2 linked regions of the Macaca fascicularis genome follow. The protein of the gene in region 2 binds, or shares a complex with, the protein of the main gene of each other region. Links are inferred from orthologs where the notes say so. Each region holds a gene or a part of one and is shown on either strand. Other genes may lie near its edges. The genes, in order: YWHAB and PEAK3.

Region 1 (4,277 bases), on a different chromosome or scaffold from region 2:
AAAAATTAAGGACTAAATGGTGTTCACACAAAACATATACATGTGCTGTCTCTACCACACGTAGAAATCTATAATATCATTCCTTACAACCAGATCATCTGGTTTCATTCCTGGTTCTGGCACTTACCTTGTGCTGTGTGTGAGACCTCGGGAAAATTATTCTTCTCAGTGCCTTAGTTTCCTCATCTGTAAAATGGGGCTAATAGTCTTACCTTTCATTGGTTGTTATGAAGACTGAGCTAATATGCTTAAAGTGCTTAAAAGAAAGCTTAGCACACAGTAAGTACTGTAAGTGGTAATTATTATTATAGACTAATTGATACCACCTCATCAGATAAATCACAAATGGATGGATTCTATATAGATGTCCATGAATAGCACATATGCTATGTCTAATCTATACACGTGTATATTCATGCAGATGGTTAAACATCTATTGAACCCCAACTATATCCCAGATGCTTATTTTCATTGAGCTTGTCACAACAAAAATTATCCAAAGCTGCATTACCATTTGCGCTATATAGATGAGAAAATGATTCAGAAAGACTAGATTTGCCTACATGCAAAATAAAGTCCCATAATAATATACCATTTTTTGAAAGCAACTTGTGTACAAAGCAGGGTTTAGTGTCATCAGATGTTAACTGGAGAGAAAAAGCCATTAATAGTGAACTCTAATTAAAAAACCAAAAGCTTCTATTTAACAATTTACAGTTTATAAAAAAGGCTTAATGATAACCCTGGAGATAAGAAAACTAAGAACCATAGACTAACATGCTGAAGATTCAGAAAGCTAGAAAATATTGCAGGCAAGATTTCAACCAAATTTACCTGACTCCAAGTCCAGTGCTCTTCCTGCTTCTCTATCCACAGCCAAATGGGCAAAATGCACTTTTTGTAGAGGCCCAAATCTCTGGAGACTCTGCCTAGAGAACCAGCATCGTGGGAATTTGCTCAGCCTGGTTTTATACAGGCTGCCTCCCTGATCTATAGTGCTCCAATTCTAAAATGGCTTCAATATAGCAAGCACTGCAAGACGGGAAATGTACAAAAGATTATAGGGTAGGAGTCATACTCCAGGGGCTGGCAATCCATATTTGCTACTGATGAATGAGGATATTCAATTTGAAAAAAACTAGGTGTAGAGTCTAGGCCAAATCACCTCATTTCTCATAAAGACTTCATCTGCAAGATAGGTGAATGGTTTCTTATCTCATTGGAGGGGCAGGCTAGGAAAATAATTCTGCAGTTGCTACAGGATTATTTGCCTTCCATTTTGAAAGCCACACTTAAATTTCTAACTCAGGTCCAATAAGATTGACAGGTTGTACACTCATACACTTCGTGTTGCCAAGGACAGGAATCCAAGAAAAATGAGGGCTCAAACAAATGAGATATCCCTAAGTAAGAAATAGGGTACCATGGAAGCAGTCAAGAAGAAATTCACCAAGAACAAATACTTATATAAATTTCCAACATGAAAATGCAAAAGCTGCAGGGTCCAGCTCCATAAACTGCATCTGTGTCTGGCTTCATATGAACTGACAGAATGAGAAATGCAGACAATTTTCATATTCTTATAAGTGCTTCACCTTTCTGTTTTGGCTTCCGTGGCAGGCTGATTTTATGTTCATAGCATCATCTTGCCAAATTCCATCTCCCACACAGGGTAAGCAAAATCAGGACCTGATGCTATCTAGCCTTACCAAAGAGAAATGCAATGAAGGCAACGACAAGAGACATGCATTTCACAGAAAGGTTGGCAAATTGCTTACCAAGGCTGCCACCTCTGGAAACCTCATTATATGGGAGTTCTCCATTTGCGGCAAAGATGCACTCACCTTCCCACCTCTTCTTCCCTCCGCTCCCCACCCCCCGACCAGGAAGCCACCGGGCAAATTTCAGACCGAAAAACGTGCTAACACACAATAGGGGGAATTTGGGGTAAAGACACAAAAGAATTTGGCATTAAATGACGGTAAATACTGTGGGAAAATATTCCGATTCTCATCCCGATATTTTTTCCTGGGGATCCGGCCTGACTCAGTAACCGGCTCCAACAAACACATTTCCTTGATTCAAACCCAATTCCCTTCCTAGGGAATCTTGGGTCCTGCCAGGCTCCATAACCAGTTAAGGATGATGAAATGGTTTTACTGCAAAATGGGAGGGGGTTCCCCCACTGCTGTCTCCCAAGGTTAAACCCCTTACTCATCCAGGAGGAGTCAAACAGGGGGACTGGGGCTAGAAAACTCACCCGCGTTTGATTAAATTTTAATTTCTGGAAACCGGAAAGCACGGAGCAGAGGTGACTGGGCTGAAGAGGACGGTTCTTGCCGACCAAGACGCAGGGAGGGGTCGCGTGAGGGACCGAATCAGATAGTGAGGGAGAGTCCGGGACCCTCGGCTCCGCTGTCCCTCACGGTGCAGCACAGAGTTGCACCCCGCCCGGCCGGCAGGACCTTAGGCGGCGAGGGAGGCCCGGGCCTCTCCAAGAGGTAAAGGGCCCGGCCCCGGAAACAGGGAGGGGCCGCTGCGAGGCCTGGCCTCGCCGCCGGCGGCCGCGCGAAGCGGAAGAGGCAGCGCACCGCTATCCCCCGGGGCCCACCCGCTGGGCCGCCGTCGTCGCAGCTGCCAAAGAGGGGCTTCGAATTTGGGCCCCCGGGGGCCCCGGTCGGACCCCGCGCCGCACTCACCGTGGGAGGGCTGCAGGGAACAAAGACCCTTCCGAGCGAAGCTCCAAGCGAGATGACCTCTTCCTTCCCAAGTCCACTCCTCAGGCAGCGGAAGCGGTGCCTGCAGTGGCTGCAGCGGCGGCGACTACCCCGGCTCCGGAATCGGCGGCGGCGGTGGCGGCAGCTCCACTTCCGCTCCGGTCACCACTTCCGCTCCGGTCCTGGCCGCGCCCCGCCCCACGCCGTGTTCTCATTGGGCAAGCGAGGCACGGGGTTGCCGCGGCCCCACGGGAGGGGCGCTGACGGAAGGGAGGAGGAAGAAGAACGAAGGGCAGGGTTGCCGCGGCCGGGGCAGGGCGCATGGCCGGGGGAGGGACCCAGGAGGAGGTGGGCGGAGAAGAAGGAAATGGGGCGGGGGAGCGGGAAAAGGAGGTGGGAGGAGAGAGGGCGGAGCTGGGGGTGGTCAAGATACGGGCTGTAAAGGCACCCGGAGGACTAGGAGTGAGGTCTGGGTGGGGGTTTCCTTTTCTGCTCAGACTGGAAACGCGCCAGGGCCAGGTACGGAGACTCGAGGTTTAGCAGTCCCCCCTCCACCCAGAAAGTAATCCTCACGGTGTCGGAAGCCGATGTCAGTCCTCTTGCTGTGTGCTTTGGGAATAGTGGAGGTAGGGAAGAACAGAAATTGCTCATCCCTCAATGTTCCCTTAATCCTCCTTTCAATCCTTCGGAGTACTTACTTTTTCCTTCTTTGGTAGACTGAAGAGGCCACTTGGAAGTGCCAGGAATCCAACGCACAAAGGTCTTTTTCAAAAACCTGTGTAGGGCCGAGCGCGGTGGCTCGCGCCTGTAGTCTCAGCACTTTTGGAAGCTGAGGTGAGAGGATTGCTTGAGGCCAGGAGTTGTAGGCTGCAGTGAGCTATGGTCATGACACTGCACTCCAACCTGGGCGACAGAGTGAGACCCTGTCTCCAAGAAAACCCCACAAAAATCTGTGTAGATGATTCCGTCTTTAAGATGCCCCCTCCTTGAGGAAGTTCAGGGAAGGAAACAGGCTTCCATGGCTCCCCTCCCCTCATGACTGCTCTCACAATTACCGACATTCTACTCCTCTCAAGGTAGTTGATTTTGTTTTGTTTTGTTTTCTGTTTTTGAGACAGAGTCTCTCTCTGTCGCCCAGGTAGTGTCACAGTCTTGGCTCACTGCAGTCTGTGCCTCCCAGGTTCAAGCAATTCTCCTGCCTCAGCCTCCTGAGTTGCTGGGATAACAGGGGCATGCCACCACTCCCGGTTCATTTTTGTATTTTTAGTAGACACGGGGCTTCGCCGTATTGGCAAGGCTGGTCTCAAACTCCTGACCTCAGGTGATCCACCCGCCTCAGCCTCTCGAAGTGCTGGGATTACAGTTACAGGCATGAGCCACCTTGCCCGGCTTCAAGGTAGTTGATTTTTAAACTCAGTCCTTCAAAATGCCTCTCGCCTTCCCTCTCTCCTGTTCATTTATTCTTTCAACAAATGTGGAACAGACTTTTTGCTTAGTGCTGGAGACACAGCAATGAACAAGGCAGATGGGGCCCTGCTGTCTTGGAGTTTGCAGTCGGGT
Region 2 (4,514 bases):
GGTGTCTCTCTGGCTTTTTTTTTTTTTTTAAGTCTTGCTCTATCGCCCAGCCTGGAGTGCAGTGGCCCAATCTCGGCTCGCTGCAACATCTGTCTCCTGGGTTCAAGCGATTCTCCCACCTCAGCCTCCCGAGTAGCTGGGATTACAGGCACCCGCCACTATGCCCGGCTAATTTTTGTATTTTTAGTAGTGGAGATGGGGTTTCACCATATTAGCCAGGCTGGTTTCAAACTCCTGACCTCAGGCGATCTGCCTGACTCAGCCTCCTAAAGTGCTAGGATTACAGGCTTGAATCATCGCACCCGGCCTTTTTTTTTTTTTTTTTTTTTTTGAGATAGAGTCTCCCTCTGTCGCCCAGGCTGGAGTACAGTGGCTCAATCTTGGCTCCCTGAAACCTCTGCCTCCCAGGTTCAAGGAAGTCTCCTGCCTCAGCCTCTCGAGTAGCTGGAATTATAGGCGTCCACTACCATGTCTGGCTAATTTTTGTATTTTTTTTTTTTTTTTTTTTTGAGACGGAGTCTCGCTCTGTCACCCAGGTTGGAGTGCAGTGGCCGGATCTCAGCTCACTGCAAGCTCCGCCTCCCGGGTTTACGCCATTCTCCTGCCTCAGCCTCCCGAGTAGCTGGGACTACAGACGCCCGCCACCTCGCCCGGCTAGTTTTTTTGTATTTTTTAGTAGAGACGGGGTTTCACCGTGTTAGCCAGGGTGGTCTCGATCTCCTGACCTCGTGATCCACCCTTCTCGGCCTCCCAAAGTGCTGGGATTACAGGCTTGAGCCACCGCGCCCGGCCACTAATTTTTGTATTTTTAGCAGAGACTGGTTTTGCCATGTTGGCCAGACTGGTCTTGAACTCCTGGCCTCAAGTGATCCTCCTCCTTGATCTCCCAAAGTGCTGGGATTAAAGGGTGGGATTACAGGCATGAGTTACCGTGCCCAGCCCCTCTCTCTTTTTTTTTTTTTTTTTTTTTTTGAGACGGAGTCTCACTCTGTCGCCCCGGCTGGAGTGCAGTGGCTGGATCTCAGCTCACTGCAAGCTCCGCCTCCCGGGTTTACGCCATTCTCCTGCCTCAGCCTCCCAAGTAACTGGGACTACAGGCGCCCGCCATCTCGCCCGGCTAGTTTTTGTATTTTTTTTTTTTTAGTAGAGACGGGGTTTCACCATGTTCGCCAGGATGGTCTCGATCTTCTGACCTCGTGATCCACCCGTCTCGGCCTCCCAAAGTGCTGGGATTACAGGCTTGAGCCACCGTGCCCGGCCTCCCTCTCTCTTTTTAATGGTATATATTTTTTTTCCAATTCATGGCTCACTGCAGCCTTGACCTCCTGGGCTCAAGGGATCCTCCTGCCTCAGCCTCCCCAGTAGCTGGGACTGCAGGCGCTTGACACCATGTCCATCTTATTATTATTATTTTTTTTTTGTAGAGATTGGGGGGGTCTCATTATGTTGCCCAGGCTGGTCTCCTGGACTCAAGGGATCCACCCGCCTCGGCCTCCCAAGGTGCTGGGATTACAGGCGTGAGCCAACACACCCCGCCCACCAACCCACAGGTTATTTTTCAGCCCTCGCCCACTCCGGGCCTTCCTGAGGTCACTCATTTTACCAACTGCTGCTGTTCCCAGAGGCCACGGTGTCCTCCACCCCCTGCCGCTCCCTGCACGCCCCCGGCCCAGGGCTCCCCGGGGAGCTGCTCACCGAGGTTGCTATATGTGGGCTGAGTCGACCAGGTGGGGTCGTCGGGCTCGGGGGGCTCTGTGGGAGTCTCCGGGCTGCTCATGTTGCTGGGGGAAGGTCAGACGGGGCGTGGTGGGGTGGCGCACGCACAGGGCGACATGGGAGGGGTCCGTGAGTGCTACAGCATGGGAGACCGTTGAGGCCCCCTGCTCCAGGGCCCTTGGTGAGAACAGGGGCACCCACACTCCACTCCCTTGTCCAGTTTTGACCCTGCTGTGTGATCCCGAGTGGGTTTTCTGCCCTCTCTGGGCCTACTTCCTCAATCATGAGGCAGGTGTGTCATCCATCAATCTTCCAGGCAGTGGGAAGGAACCCCCACTGCACATTTGGGATGGGGACAGAATGTTCAGCCTGAGAACAGGTCTTTGGGGGTCAGTTGTGGGGGAGACAGTGTCCAGGGACCCAGGGATCCACACTCAGGCCTCCTCCCTGAGGGCTCAGCTGTGCGGTTGCTGTCGGCAACCAGGCCCCAACCCACCCCCGCCCAGATCCCAACCTGAAAAAGTAACCGCTTCTGTCCAGCTCCCTGCTCCAGGAGCCCCCTACCTTCAAGACTGGCGTGCCCTCTGGGGGAGGAGGGGTCCTGGGGGACGAACTCCCAATGGCCACAGCCCCTGGCCTCGCAGGAGGGGTCTGACCTAGCGCCGGCAGCTGACAGGAAAACGTCCGGCCAACTGTCAGACCGCAGCCCGGGGTGGGGCGGGGGCATTTCGGCAACACTTCCCCACCAACTGCGGCCGCCCCCTCCCCTGCCCGCCCTCAGAGGACAGGATGTAGCCGGGAACAGCATCCCGGGCGGAGGGAACAGCCCGGACGGAGACCAGGAGGTGGGATCTGAAAGTCAATAGCACCAGGGCTGACAGCCTCAGAGGCCAGGCTGGGGTAGGGGCAGTGAGGAGCCCTGTGAGATGGGCAGAGGGGCAGAGCTGGCCCACCGTAGGGAGGGCACAGAACGTGGTGACGGCTGTCCCTGGAGAAGGTGAAAGTGGGGTCTGTGGGTTTCATTTCCCCGGGAACCGCCTCCCCTCCTGTGGCAGCATCTTGAGGAGCCCCCAGCGGCCCCCTGCCCGATCCCAGGGCCCCCGAATGCGGAGTGTGGGCGAGGACCCTCCCGGCTCTGCAGCGCCTGGCTGTGTGACTGTGGACAAATCCCCGCCCCTCTCCGTGCTCTGGCCAATAAAGAAAAGCGTCTCCCGCATCCCGCCTGGTAACAGCCCCGCCTGCTGGATTTCTCTTCGAAAAAACGGAATCGGCTCACTTTCCCCCTTCCCCCTTCCTCACTGCCTCGATGCATTTATTTAGAAAAGACGTTGTAGATAAAATCACCATAAATGGAAAAATCAAGAATGGAAAAAACCCAAGGAAAAGCAGACGCGGGGTGAAATTCCAGCTGAAGTGTGTGCCTGTCAAAACTGTCTTCTTTTTTTTTTTTTTTTGGAGACAGGGTCTCACACTGTTGCCCGGGCTGGAGCGCAGTGGGGCAATCGCAGCTCACTGCAGCCTGCAACGAACTCCTGGGGCGATCCTCTGGCTAGGGAAGGAGCCCACTACTCCTCCTGCTGCCCTCCTCCCCTCACCTTGCCTAGTTCACAAGACAGGAGGAGAGAGACAAAGCAAACAGTTAGAAAGAAACAAAAGTAAGATAAATAGCCAGACAACCTTGGCAAAACCATCCGGCCCTAGGAGTTAAAAAAAGTAATAATAGGCGGGGCGCGGTGGCTCACACCTATAATCCCAGCACTTTGGGAGGCTGAGGTGGGCGGATCACGAGGTCAGGAGATCGAGACCATCCTGGCTAACACGGTGAAACCCCGTCTCTACTAAAAATACAAAAAATCAGCCGGGCGTGGTGGCGGGCGCCTGTAGTCCCAGCTACTCGGGAGGCTGAGGCAGGAGAATGGCGTGAACCCAGGAGGCAGAGCTTGCAGTGAGCCGAGATCGCGCCACTGCACTCCAGCCTGGGCGACAGAGCGAGACTCCGTCTCAAAAAAAACAAAAGAAAAAAAAAAGTAATAATAATAACATTGACCCCTGACCTAAACTACTTGTGTTGTCTGTAAATTCCAGACACTGTATGGAAAAAGCATTGTAAAACTTTTTGGTCTGTTAGCTCATGCCTGTAGTCCCCATTCACGTTCCCCACATTTGCTCGATTTATCACGACCCTTTCACATGGACCCTTTAAACTTGTGAGCCTTTAAAAAGGCCAAGAATGTCTTTTTCGGGGAGCTCGGCTCTTAAGACACAAGTCTGCCGATGCTCCCGGCCGAATAATCCACTTCCTTCTTTAATCCAGTGTCTAAGGAGTTTTGTCTGTGGTTCGTCCTGCTGCACTGCCTCGGCCTCCCAAAGTGCTAGGATCACAAGTGTGAGCCAACCTGCCCGGCCCCAAAGATGTTCTTGCAGCAAAGATTGAGTGTGTTTCATGAGGGGTTCCCGATCCCATTTCCCTGAAGGAAATGGGCCCAGAGACAATATGGGCTCCATCCAGGGTCACACAGCAGCTCGAGGCTGGAAGCAGAGGTCCACAGAGCCACTGCTGAGTCCCCCTGGCCTCCCCCAATCCCCTGAGAAAGGGAAGGAGAGGAAGGAGACTACCTTTCCTTTATGAACATCCTTCGAGTGGGTCCCATGCCATACTTTTTTTTCTTTGAGTCAGGGTCTCGCTCCGTCACCTACACTGTGTCGCCCAGGCTGGAGTGCAGTGGTGTGATCATAGCTCGCGGCAGCCTCTGCTTCCTGGGCTCAAGTGATCCTCCCACCTCAGCCTCCTGAGTAGC

The links.
Region 1: the proteins of PEAK3 (region 2) and YWHAB are in contact, whole or in part, in a cryo-EM structure (PDB 8DP5), measured with the Homo sapiens proteins. The link is inferred for Macaca fascicularis from reciprocal best matches to the Homo sapiens genes PEAK3 and YWHAB. Residues at the interface, in NP_940934.1 of Homo sapiens: Arg66, Thr67, Gln68, Ser69, Leu70, Pro71, Thr72, Arg73; in NP_003395.1 of Homo sapiens: Val48, Lys51, Asn52, Arg58, Lys122, Arg129, Tyr130, Gly171, Leu174, Asn175, Val178, Glu182, Ile219, Leu222, Asn226, Leu229, Trp230.

The regions. Positions count from the first base shown.
Region 1 is NC_088384.1:100,980,605-100,984,881, reverse strand, and holds the start of YWHAB (14-3-3 protein beta/alpha), read right to left. Parts: upstream 2,873-4,277; 5' UTR 2,700-2,872; exon of another isoform or gene 2,261-2,699; intron 930-2,260; 5' UTR 835-929; intron 1-834. UniProt on the Homo sapiens protein: Adapter protein implicated in the regulation of a large spectrum of both general and specialized signaling pathways. Binds to a large number of partners, usually by recognition of a phosphoserine or phosphothreonine motif.
Region 2 is NC_088393.1:2,936,749-2,941,262, forward strand, and holds the start of PEAK3 (protein PEAK3), read right to left. Parts: upstream 2,875-4,514; 5' UTR 2,281-2,874; intron 1,853-2,280; 5' UTR 1,778-1,852; coding exon 1,696-1,777; intron 1-1,695.